Arabidopsis thaliana: one gene and its partners. The main gene of each other region encodes a partner of the protein of the gene in region 3 in a complex. Each region holds a gene or a part of one and is shown on either strand. Other genes may lie near its edges.

Region 1 (3,652 bases), on a different chromosome or scaffold from region 3:
GTCTGACAGGTATTGCCCTGACATAGCTGAGGACAGAGAGGATTTTGACAACAGACCCTATGATCCTGAAGATTAAGTTTGGAACCATACCTTACATGTTTTTCGGTACTTTTTATTGTTTGATAATATGTGTTGGTACTTTCTTATGTCAGCAGATAGAAACTCTGAGAATGTATTTGATTTTGATAACCCAGACTATTATATAAATGCTACAGTTGGTTTTGACAAAAAAAAAAAAAAAATGCTACAGTTGGTTTTGTTTGGAGCTTTTGTTGGAAGAGTTTATCAGCGACAACAATGAGTTTAGCCAGGTTTTAGATACAGTCACCAAGGACGATAGCAATGGCAATTAAGGCTTGTAAATTCGGTAATGAATGATATGAAATAGTGAAGTAACCACCCGAAGAGAGTACTAGTATTTAGTAACGTATAGATTATTTCATAGCATTTGGTATTCGAGATAAATGTATCATGAGATTGAAAACTCATAGTTTGTATTTGATGAAAGCTAATAGAGAGCATATTTGCCGCGATTATTCTCTTGTGTTGACTCTTCTATTTGTAGCCATAGCCTATAGGACTTACCAAAGGTTTCGTTAGACAGATATTAACACACTAATTTATCCATCTGCTTGGTACTAAAAAGGTATTTTGAGAGTAACATTGTGGTGGGTTCTCTTCATGTCTCTCTTCGATTTCTTCCGAACACTTAATATGTAGCAAACAAGATTGATATATGGTAGTCACTACCTTTTCCACCACCAGAATCTGATCAACTAAATGCAGAGTACACTAAAGAACAAAGGTAGCAAAACAACGAGAGATTATAGCCAATCAAGGATTATAGCAATGTGAACTTAGTTATTCCAAGAATTACATCTATCAAAACGGTAAAGTCATTACACAGTCACACTGTGACCAAATCAAATCGAACTGGCAATGTAGCAATCACCATGTCGATATATATATCACAAACAGTGCCAAAAAGTCTCAACCCATCTTAACAGACTATGAACCACCTTCAGGAGTAGTAGTTCTCAGCGAGCTTCGTATTGAACAACTGCAAGAGAATAAACCATCAAATAAATTAGCCGGAAACAAGTTTACAACATCTACATTTTGTACAAGAAAACCAACAGATTAACAATCTCAAGATAAATTCGGAAACCGGATCCTTAGAACATTTGCGTTATATAAGACACACTGAAAATCGTTCCATCAGTATCATAAACTATGATCAAGACTTAAAAAAGGATCCCGATATCATGTATATGTTGAGACGCATTCAAAATGGTGCCATCACTTTTATAAACTAGGAACAAGATCCAAAAAAAGAGGAATCAAAGAAAGCTAAAAACATTACAAAACAAAAGGAGGATTAAGAATAAGTCACCTCTACGGGTACGCTTCTTGTAGAGAATACGGTACCCACACTCTCTGCATTGGATCACATCCCCAGACTTCAAAGTGTTCTCTTGACCACAATCTGATGATACAGAAAATAAGAAATTAAGCAAACCCATAAAACGAAGACAACCTTTTTACTTATGAATTTTGGTTTAAAAGTGTATATGTCTGAGGCTGCTTGGGAGAAGCTTGATACTTAGCAGAAGCAAAGCTCCTCCTCAAAAAGACCTCAAGTCAAATAGATCAATACAATACAGTAAAGTATTGATGATCAAGATTGATTTATGCCTCCTAACTAAGCCAGATTATGAAATTTCCTAATAGATTAGGATTCATATGGCTACTCAAAAGAGGCAACTTTAGCATTTACTTTCACAAAGCTACAATCTTTTACAGATACTAACAAAACTTTGATTTCAAAGCAAAATTAGATGTTCGATGAAGTTTTCAAGTCGAGCTTACCTCCGCAGACGTAAGTAACGGGTTCGGGCGCTGGATCCATGATTCAACAAAGAAACAGTACGCAGAAGTTGAATTTGTTTCAAGCCACCGGACAAGATGTAAACAAAACCTTGAGCGTCTAAATTTTCTCAATTGGGATTTTAGGGTTTTTGAGGAGGAATTAGAGGTTTTAATAATTTCGGTCGAAAAGACGAGGAAAGAGATTCGTATGGGCTTCTTAACAAAAGTCTATGGGCTTACAGAATAAGCCCAAATAAAGTTTCGTTGGTCAACCTTGTCTGTTTGACTTTATGCCACATACTTGTTGCTATTGGCACTTTGTGTTCTAGAGTGAGATATAAAAACTCTATTATCTGCCATAATGCAACAAATTTTTAACATGATAACAATGTCTAGGATGGTCTAAAGTACATACAAATGGGTGGATTGATTCTTAATATAGAAAGAATTGCGGATGGGATGGTCCAAATTCCATCTCCGCAGATCAGACCTGAAGCTACTGCACCCGAGTAATCATCTGCGTCTTTCTTATTCATCCGTTCCCATACGAGCATTATCACGGTTCCTACGAACATGTCGATGGCGAAGTAAGCTCCTATGTAGAATGGACCAGCCATTGCCATTGGAAGTGGTATCAACTTAGAGATCTTTGGTGGTGTCATGTCTCTAATTAGATTTACAATCAGAGCAGCGATGAAGAATCCACAACAAAGTGCCAAACAGTGTTTGGGCAGTTTGGCAAAGCCTTCGACCCCGAGAATAGCCATTTCGCGGTAGATGACCGCGTAAGGTGCTTTGTATAGACCATCAGGATCTCCAATATCAAAAGCAGTCCAAAACAGCCAGAACGTGAGAGGAGCGATTATGCAACCCATTGCTGTACCCAAAAGCTGAGTTACAAACATGGATTTTGCAGATGATAGTGTGAGGTAACCTGTTTTAAAATCCTGCATGAGATCCGCTGCAGTTGAGACGATTGACATCATAATGCCACATGCTGCTAAACCGGCAATGACTCCACCATTATTTCCTACAATTGAAGCAACGATGAAAAGACCAGTCTTTCCGTAGGTTGAAGGCATGCTCATATCTGTGAGCCCGGCTCCATAAGAATTGCAAAAAGCAAGACCCGGGGCAACTAAGTATGAACAGAGGACAAAGTACCATTTCAATGGTGGGAATATCAACGGGATTATAGCGGTTGAAATAGCTGCAAGACCCACATAACCAGAAACCGCAAACTCGAGGGGTATACGGTCCTTGAGAAATATGATATCTCTTTTCTTCTTCTCCCGCATTAATACTGAGGTCTTACTTTTATCTGAATTAAGAATGGAGAAAGAAACTCTTAAGAAAATATTTGAGACAGACGTTGTCAGTATGGTCATGAGAGACACCTTTATTAATAACTATGACTATTACTAACAAACGCGATTGTGAATCAGGATCATATATATTCGCACCTAAAATGTCGGTAAAGACAGGTAGGTTGTGTTGTCTGGAGCTTTTGTTGCAGATTTCCTTCACAGTGACAACAATGATCTTAATGAGGTTGTAGAGACCGTCACCAAGGATGATAGAAATGGCGATAAATACCTATAAGTACAGTAATTATATGAAAGAGAATCAGTAACCACCACAATGAGAGTACCTATGAAATTCATCTACTAACATTAAATTCTTCCTACTTAATCGGTTTATTGTGTACCTTATATCCATAGAGACCTTTGAAATCGTTGGCTTTAAGGTCAGCTGGATACCAGTCCCCAGCATGCTGTGATAT
Region 2 (3,996 bases), on a different chromosome or scaffold from region 3:
ATCTTATATGCAAAAGAGAATATCTTTTCAAAAAATGGGTAGAGAAATGTCACTTTCCAACTTGAGAAATTAGGACATTGCTTATTTTTGCCAGCATTGACAAATCAACCTTGCTATTTTTTTTGTTTTTTTTTTATCATACGAAATTTGATTTATTTGACTGCGTCTATGTAAATATTTGTTAATGTTTTAGAATGACGAGAAACATGTCTAATTTGGCATATTTGTGTTTTACGTGTAACAAAACTTGTGCAATTTAGATAAGCTCCTAAACAGTGTCATTGAATCAAGTATAATTCCACTCATGAATTGGTTACTGATTTTTTGACTTTATGAACTATGATGGACCAAGTTGGCTATTAGCTAACGTAGTTTTATCATATTTGCTTACAAAAGAAAAAACTTTATTTGAAGATATTGTCATCACTTAACAAGAGCAGCCGTATAATTCGATACGATGACGAAGTAAACACAGCATTATTAAAACAATTTGGTTTAGAAGATTAGATTTATCAACTTTTTATAATATCACACGTTATAGCAAAGTTATAGCAGCCGGCGGCTAGACTCCACGTATACAAATTTTCAACACTATCATGGTTTATGGACGAATTTTCAGATCGGCCCCGCATAAAACGACAAATTTATAATTAGACCCACATAAAAACCAAAATGATCATAAAAGACCCTGAAACAATTCAAGAAACCCGAGAACAGTCTCATAGTATTCATATTTTTACACAGAAAACTCCAAATTGAATTGTATAAAACTCATAAAGCGGAACACAAATACACGTTACATTTGAAAAATGTAGTCTTCTATCAATCTATTCTCTCCAACGGTGACTACAGTTCGGGTTGCAGCAAACGAAAAACAGAGTCATTCCTTCTTCGCCTCTAGCCGTGGCCTGAAAATTCGATGACACACACGAGCTATATCAAACCGAAATAGCCATAAGCACATTAAAAAGCAAGAGAAAGAAATCTCTTTTGATCTTTAAGTTAGATCAGAGAAAAACGAAAGAATGTTTCTTTACTCCTTGATTGATGACGAATTAAAGATTAAGATATAAGATAATGATTCACCTGGAAGAAGACAGCTTCACCGTGTTGACACTTGGCGCATCGCACAGCCTTGGTACGTGGAAGAGTTGGGTCGGAAGCAACGTCAGATAGGATCTGAGTTTGTTCACTTACAGAGTGATGAACCTCGTTTCTGTAAACACAATTGTTATCTGCTGCTTCCTGCAAAGCCAAATAAAAGAATATAAATTTCAAGACCTTCTATCAACAGGACGATAAATAGCTAACAGTAACTCAGTAAGTTTATAACTAATTCGGTTAGCAAGTCCGGGCATTAAGCTAAAGATCCCATACAGAGATTCATCTAGAATGGTTTTCAGTAGCTAACAAAGGCATAATGCTTTGTAATAACAAAACATAACACAAACAGTAGAAACAAAAAAAAACTCAGATTCGGTAACACCAATGGATATTGTTGAAACTCAAATGGTTTTAGAAGTTAAGTTGCAGAAACCCTCTAAACGGTTTTTAAAAGGTCTTGCGTTTGTTCAGAAGTTCTCAAAGAACTCTTTATACTGATAAGCACTACTATCTTAACCAATCAGATTCATGATATGAGAGACAAGGAAAATGATCTAAACTCATTAAATTATCATTCCTTGGTTTACTTCAAGTTCAGACATTCGACCTTTAACCGTATAAGCGATTACAAAGAGTAAAACATCAGAGCTTAAATAAATATCAACACAAATCATATACAAGTGAACAACTAAAGTCTATTGGTTTCAGCCCTAGCTTTGTTTCAACACCACATTGTTCCATTAACACTAAGGAAACCTAATTTTATAAAAGAAAGCATAGTAAACAAAGTTTACCTGGTGATCACAATTACGGCACGCATAGAGGAGGATTGATTGCTCCTTGTCTTCCTTGGGATATAGAATGTTATTACTGAACATTTCAAAAAAAAACAAAATCAAAGGTTCATAAGCTGCAAAAGTGGAGAAAAGTTGGAGCTTTAATCCAATAGAAAACATAAGCAAACCATCCAAAACTAAAATTCCGACAATTAGAGACTTAAGAGAACTGGGTACAATATATAATTCAATATGAGCTAAGAAATGAAAACCCAAATTTCAATTTCAGAAGACTAGTATAAAAGAGCAGAGAACAGATTCGTTTTGACCCCCAAAATAAAAAAAACGAAGAGATTCGTATTTACCATTCGCGACAAAATTTCATAGTACTCATCTTCGCAGAATCTTTAGATAACGAGCTTTTGAATGCTTCTTTGATTTCACAATCAGTCTCTTCGTATCTTTGGCGGGATTTGTTCACTCGGACATGAGAGAGAAGAGGTCAAGCTCTAGTAAAGACTAAAGACTGCGTAGTGGCAATCGGATGTAATTTCATGAACTTTCTCGGGCATTTAGACAATAAATGCGTAAAGCCCATGGGCCGGCCCATATCAGAATTTAACTTGTGGGGTAGAAAAAAATACAAATAAAGAAATACGAAGAGGACAATACGAAATAAATTTGACCCTTTCTTCATTGAAGACTAGTGTACTTTTTCTTACATTAACAACCACATGCATATCCCCATGCACCTTTATATCATTGTGAAAATTATTCGATATTCATTATATAAGTTCTGTTCTATTAAAAATATGAAAGAAATTAAGCACATTATATACTACTAACTTCTGTCAGATTCCAACTGCTGAATTGGTCTGTCTTTTAACTACTCCTGACTCTATAGTGTATACCGACACATCTCTCTAGCACTTGCACTAGCACTAGCAATAGTAACAACATGGTTTATTTGTGTGTTTCCTCTTCATTCATTACAATATCATTACTACTCTTTTGTTCCTTTTTATTACAACTTACTAATAATAGCCATTAGCCAGCCACCTTATGCAATCTTATCCCTTATCACGTATATAGTTTAGTCCAAAACGTTTTGTTTTGCTCAAATAATAATTCATGCATAAAAAACAACAAAAAACACACAATTATACATGCTGATCATAAATTGTATTATGAGAATTTGTTAATCATTTGGTATACTAACATTGCAATTTTACTTGAATATTTGCCAATCTACTTCTTTTATATATACATACATTTATTGACGTACGTATGATTAATTTGACGAGTACATAATATGTAATTGGGTTGTTGAAGTGCACATGCAGTCATGCAGTCACACATACATATATACGTGTTATGTATGTGTATATAGTTGAATTGTTTCTATAAATATGGACACACATACACTAGCTTTCTAATATAGTACCAACTCCATTGAATGTTAAAACTCAGAAGAAAGTGGAGTGATCATATAACGACAATGAAGAATCTCTTTAACTTGTTCCTTATGTTTTTCTTTGCAATGCCAATTCTTTCACTCTCCGAGAATCCAACCAATTTCAGCGAGAGTTGCGAAGACGGGAGTGGAGAAACCGGTTCAAGCTTTGGCATAGGGTTCGATTTGGTTCTTGATTTTGGTTTATACCGGAATAGCTGCCCCGAAGCAGAGTCTATCGTCTACTCGTGGGTGGAAACCACGGTGTTAGAGGATCCAAGAATGGCTGCTTCTCTTCTCCGTCTTCATTTCCACGACTGTTTTGTCAATGCAAGTCACATCTCATCTTAAGTTTGTTTTAATAGTTTTGGTCTATCATCTAATCCCCGTCTTTTATATACCATTGAACCGGGAAGGATTATATTATGTTAGTTAAACCGTGACAAATCTAAATTGTACCGGTTAAGTAGGGAATGAGTACTACGAACCAGAATGTGTTTTTGTTTTTGACTTGCATTATGCATTGCAGGGATGTGATGCTTCGGTGTTGTTAGATGACACAGAAGGACTGGTTGGTGAAAAAACGGCGCCTCCTAATCTAAATTCTCTACGAGGGTTCGAAGTGATTGATTCGATAAAGTCTGATATTGAATCTGTATGTCC
Region 3 (4,152 bases):
AGAAAATGTAGGGATAAAAGCAGGACAGCAAAATAGTTACGGAGAAAATGTAAGAGGCTGCAACTTTCACATGTATCCTATGATGATTAGTCCGGTCTTGATGATAATTTTGGACATGCAAAAAGAAGAATCAGTTACGTGTATCGTTCTAGTTTAAATCAATAAATTTGTGAATTGTGTTCTACGAACGTTTTGATGATTTTCTTTATAATCCAAAATCGTACACCCAATATGAACCTAAATGCCGCAAGTGATCACAATTCACAAATTGCTAACCACTTTTCAGAAGCACATATATAGCGGATCAGAGGAGCCACGGATCTTCTTCTTTCAGGGTGGTTACCTAGAAGATCACAAAACAAACGGTATCATAGAAAGCTTGATACATTGTTAAGTCAACCAAAGCCATTTTTGATTCCATGAGTTTGACAATCTACTTGATGCAGATCAAGCAAAGAATGGAGAAGAAGACGGACACATGAGAGCCAATGGCATTAGTATAAGCTGCAGAGAAAGCATTGCAGTTGAGAGGCAATAATCATAACTCACTCACTAAATCAAACAGCTGCAAAATCAGGATCCGAGTATTTCCTCAGCCATGCTTATCATGGTTTGGAGGTAAACAGCGATAATACGCATGAGCCTCATACAGTTGGGAGAAGTGGGAAGGCGTCTGGATACAAGCATGAGTAACAACAACTCCAAAAACTTCACTATCACAAAGAAAAATTCCTGCTACGCCAGAAACTGACTTTTTTGTTTTATTGGCTTAGTGTTATTGTTCAAAGAGAGAATATTACTAAACACATGTGAGAGTGTTGTTAGAAAAGAAACAATTTTTTTGTCTCTGTTTGTTTTATAACTTATTGGCCTCAAGTGGTTATCATCATTCATCAACAGCTCTGAGCTACAAGCATAATTCAATTGGACAGTTAAATATTGGATGTACAAGAGTTGCTTCATGAAAATAGTATTTATAATAGCAAAGTTTAACATAAGATAAAGCTTTTATAAGAAAGCTCTCTGTTAATTCGGTTTTTATGCGAATATTCTCGGAAAGTGATTAGACAATGGCATCTCAAAGCTTCCTCATGAGTAGAAAGAGCCTCTGGTCAAGTTCGAAGTGAGAAATATGAGCTGGATCTCCCTGAAGCAACATCAGGAGCCCCCCGAACGAAACATATAACTCTCTGCAAACACATAATTGCAAGATAGAAACCGAAGCATGATGGTTAGATCTGTAAGTTAAATTGGATCTCTTTGGGAAAAAATGATTTTGTTGGTCTAGGTATATGGGATTCTTACGCTTTTGGAGTTTTGCCGTCACGCTCAGAGATCTTGTAAAGCTTCCCGTGCATGATGTATTCATACTTATCTGCAAGTGTTTTCTTTGCTCCCTGTAACAAAGCGAGATGGAAACTAGATTAGATTAGCTAACAACAATCTTGGTTTCATGATTCAAGAGTCAAGACACTAAGTCTTGCTCAAATTCCACATGTTTACTCTTATTCCTAGATAGGCTTCCTGAATCAAGCCAAAGCAATTGTTCTATTAAGCAATTAGATCAAATCCTAATACATGTTCTTGTAATAGAGCGACATGGAAACTAAATGAATGTTCAAATTATCAAAGAAAACAGTCTTGGTTTTCAAAGATAGGTTTTAATTCAATATTCAAGAGACTAAGTATTGCTCAAGTTTTCATATGATTAGTCTTATTCCTATCTCCTGAATCAAGCCAGTGGAATTAGTCATATCGAGCAATTAGCACTTAATGGTATGCCCCAACCAAAACCTTAAGAAAAGTTAACTGGCCTAACTTACTGTAACCATTCATGAGATTTATCCAAGCAAGTAAAAAAGAGTATGCAATATACACCAAAAATCTAACATAGAAAAAGCATGCAGTACCGGAGTAAAGTATCCGGTATCAGGAGTTCCATCGAGATTAAGCGTGGGAGCCATAGCCAGCGTGAACTTATCACCAACAGCCAATGGATAAACCTCAGTGTTAACATCTAAATGCATAAACATTTCCAAGTTGTGGCTCCTTGCTTCAACACGCGTAACTGTGTTACCACAAACACACAGAGACGCAATCAATTTGAAGTCAGAACAAACAAACTTTAGGAGGCTTAAAATTTTAAAAGTTGAGATCTTTTTCACACTAACTTGGATTCCAATTTATCTAAAACTTAAAACAAACACAAGAAACTAGGATTCATATCAGAAACTCGATTTAAGCCATGACAAGCATTACAAATCGTGACTGAGGTTAAAAAAAAAAGTAGATACCTTTATCGAACTTTTTGCCATCAGGGTCTAGCTTATCGACCACGAAGATATCCTCGAACATGATAATATTGCTCGCCATCTACAAACACGGAGATTCAAACCCTAAACACTCTTAATTTCATGAAAATAATCCGATTCGACTGGCATAAAACAACTATATGAGCATCTGGAGAAATCGAAAAGCTGAATTACCTTCAAAGGAGATAGAAAAGACGATTTTTTTCACCAGCTCCGGAGGCTCAAGAGGCAGAGAGAGGAACGGCGGCGAGAAGAGTGTTAAGGAGGGGCAGAGAAGAAGAGAAGCGAGAGAGAAAGGATTTTTTGTTTTTTACTTTTTCATATTATTACATATATTCCTTGTAGTTTGGTTTATTTACATATTTTCCTTATATTTTTACTTATTACAGAAAATACCCTATAGATTTGTGTTTTTCCGAGACATTCCATGTATATTTTGTTGTTTATTACATATGTTGCATTAAAGGAGAGATCAGAAGTTTGAAATATTGGAGTAGGTGCATGGTTTGCTGAGTATGAGCAATAGTTAAACACTAGTTGGTTTGCAAACTGATTTCAATCGAGCGAGAAAAATTGTTGGAAGGTGAGAAAGTATCTCTTCCTCCAATTCCCACGGCTGGTTCTCTGGTTGCATCATATATTTTTAATGGACACGGTCGAAAAGAAAAAAAAGAGTTTATAGATGGATTTGTATAGCAGCGTTGTTGTTTGCTTGCCTTGTCGGTTTAGGGTTTCAGAAAGAAGGATTGGAAAACCCTATTTCCCATTTTACTCATAAGTCCAACTTTTTTTATTAGGCTTTTGCGAACCCAATAAAAAACACGGCCAGTAATATTCCCATTTTACTCAATCGTGCATGTTCAAGAAAAACGATCATATTCATATCCAAAAAAGAATTATTACTTTTTATTGGCATGATTATTAATAATTAAAAACTGGTGAATGGTTAGGAAACGAATAATATAGAGGGGGTGGAGAGAAGTGGACGCCGAGAGCAGTGAGGTGGACACCAGAGCTTCTTCCGTAAAACCCGATGGCCTTGGAGCCTCGTTCTCCTCGAAGCGAGAAGGGCGTCCCGTTCAAGCGTCCGTACTGTGGCATCATGTCTCCCTTGCGCATCCGAAATGTAATGGAGGTGATATGGCTTTCAGTGTAGGTCCCCTCGACGGCTTCAATGTAGTCGCCTCCAGCGATCATAATCTATGCAAGAAATCCATATGATATGTATGATAAAACTATATATAAGTTAGAAACTAATAAATTAAGAAGTAAGAAATCTCATCACGTCACGTACTTCGTCGTCTGGATTATGTGTTGTCGCATTTCCATGACCTGCTCCGGCTTCAATCCGGTTATATTTGGAGTAGTGAAACTTGACAAAGACCGTGTCAAAATCATTTACTCCTACATTTATTTTCTTCACATTGTGGAAGATGCCGTCGTCCCACTCGTTTCCTCCATCGCTCGCTTGTATTCCTCTAGGGGGTGTGAAGCGGGACTCAACCTGCTGCGTTTTACTTCTATTGCTCATCGTGAACGTTGGAACTGGGACCAAACTAGGAACATAGGTACGGTGATGACGAGTAGGATACTCAACCAAATCGTTTATTATAATTTCATGGAACTTATCTCCCTTGGCAATATAAATGCAAGCCTTTTCCTTCTTGTTCAAACAACACAAATGCGAGACTGAGGGTTTTATCGTCGATGAAGTAACTTGGCGGATCATAGCTTATTACTCTTAAACTCGACCATTTAGGAACTGACACTTTCATCAAGTTCATCCACTCCACAGCCTTTCCATTCTCAATTTTAATCTCTTTTTTTGTTACCCAAATCT

The links.
Region 1: NRPB8B (region 3) and NRPB12 share a complex: the UniProt entries of both Arabidopsis thaliana proteins name them as parts of the RNA polymerase II.
Region 2: NRPB8B (region 3) and NRPB9B share a complex: the UniProt entries of both Arabidopsis thaliana proteins name them as parts of the RNA polymerase II.

What each region holds. Positions count from the first base shown.
Region 1 is NC_003076.8:16,422,307-16,425,958, reverse strand, and holds NRPB12 (DNA directed RNA polymerase, 7 kDa subunit), read right to left. Parts: upstream 2,041-3,652; 5' UTR 1,910-2,040; coding exon 1,870-1,909; intron 1,714-1,869; exon of another isoform or gene 1,570-1,713; intron 1,487-1,569; coding exon 1,394-1,486; intron 1,061-1,393; coding exon 1,038-1,060; 3' UTR 635-1,037; downstream 1-634. Other genes in the region: AT5G41020 (myb family transcription factor), read left to right, coding at 1-76; YSL4 (YELLOW STRIPE like 4), read right to left, coding at 2,262-3,190, 3,333-3,465, 3,578-3,652. UniProt on the Arabidopsis thaliana protein: DNA-dependent RNA polymerase catalyzes the transcription of DNA into RNA using the four ribonucleoside triphosphates as substrates. Component of RNA polymerase II which synthesizes mRNA precursors and many functional non-coding RNAs.
Region 2 is NC_003075.7:9,201,702-9,205,697, forward strand, and holds NRPB9B (RNA polymerases M/15 Kd subunit), read right to left. Parts: upstream 2,115-3,996; 5' UTR 2,061-2,114; coding exon 1,899-2,060; intron 1,246-1,898; coding exon 1,087-1,245; intron 909-1,086; coding exon 828-908; 3' UTR 651-827; downstream 1-650. Other genes in the region: AT4G16270 (peroxidase superfamily protein), read left to right, coding at 3,379-3,663, 3,863-3,996. UniProt on the Arabidopsis thaliana protein: DNA-dependent RNA polymerase catalyzes the transcription of DNA into RNA using the four ribonucleoside triphosphates as substrates. Component of RNA polymerase II which synthesizes mRNA precursors and many functional non-coding RNAs.
Region 3 is NC_003074.8:22,014,850-22,019,001, reverse strand, and holds NRPB8B (RNA polymerase Rpb8), read right to left. Parts: upstream 2,627-4,152; 5' UTR 2,487-2,626; intron 2,374-2,486; coding exon 2,295-2,373; intron 2,069-2,294; coding exon 1,911-2,068; intron 1,398-1,910; coding exon 1,306-1,397; intron 1,191-1,305; coding exon 1,079-1,190; 3' UTR 641-1,078; downstream 1-640. Other genes in the region: AT3G59590 (jacalin lectin family protein), read right to left, coding at 3,234-3,512, 3,607-3,972, 4,052-4,152. UniProt on the Arabidopsis thaliana protein: DNA-dependent RNA polymerase catalyzes the transcription of DNA into RNA using the four ribonucleoside triphosphates as substrates. Component of RNA polymerase II which synthesizes mRNA precursors and many functional non-coding RNAs.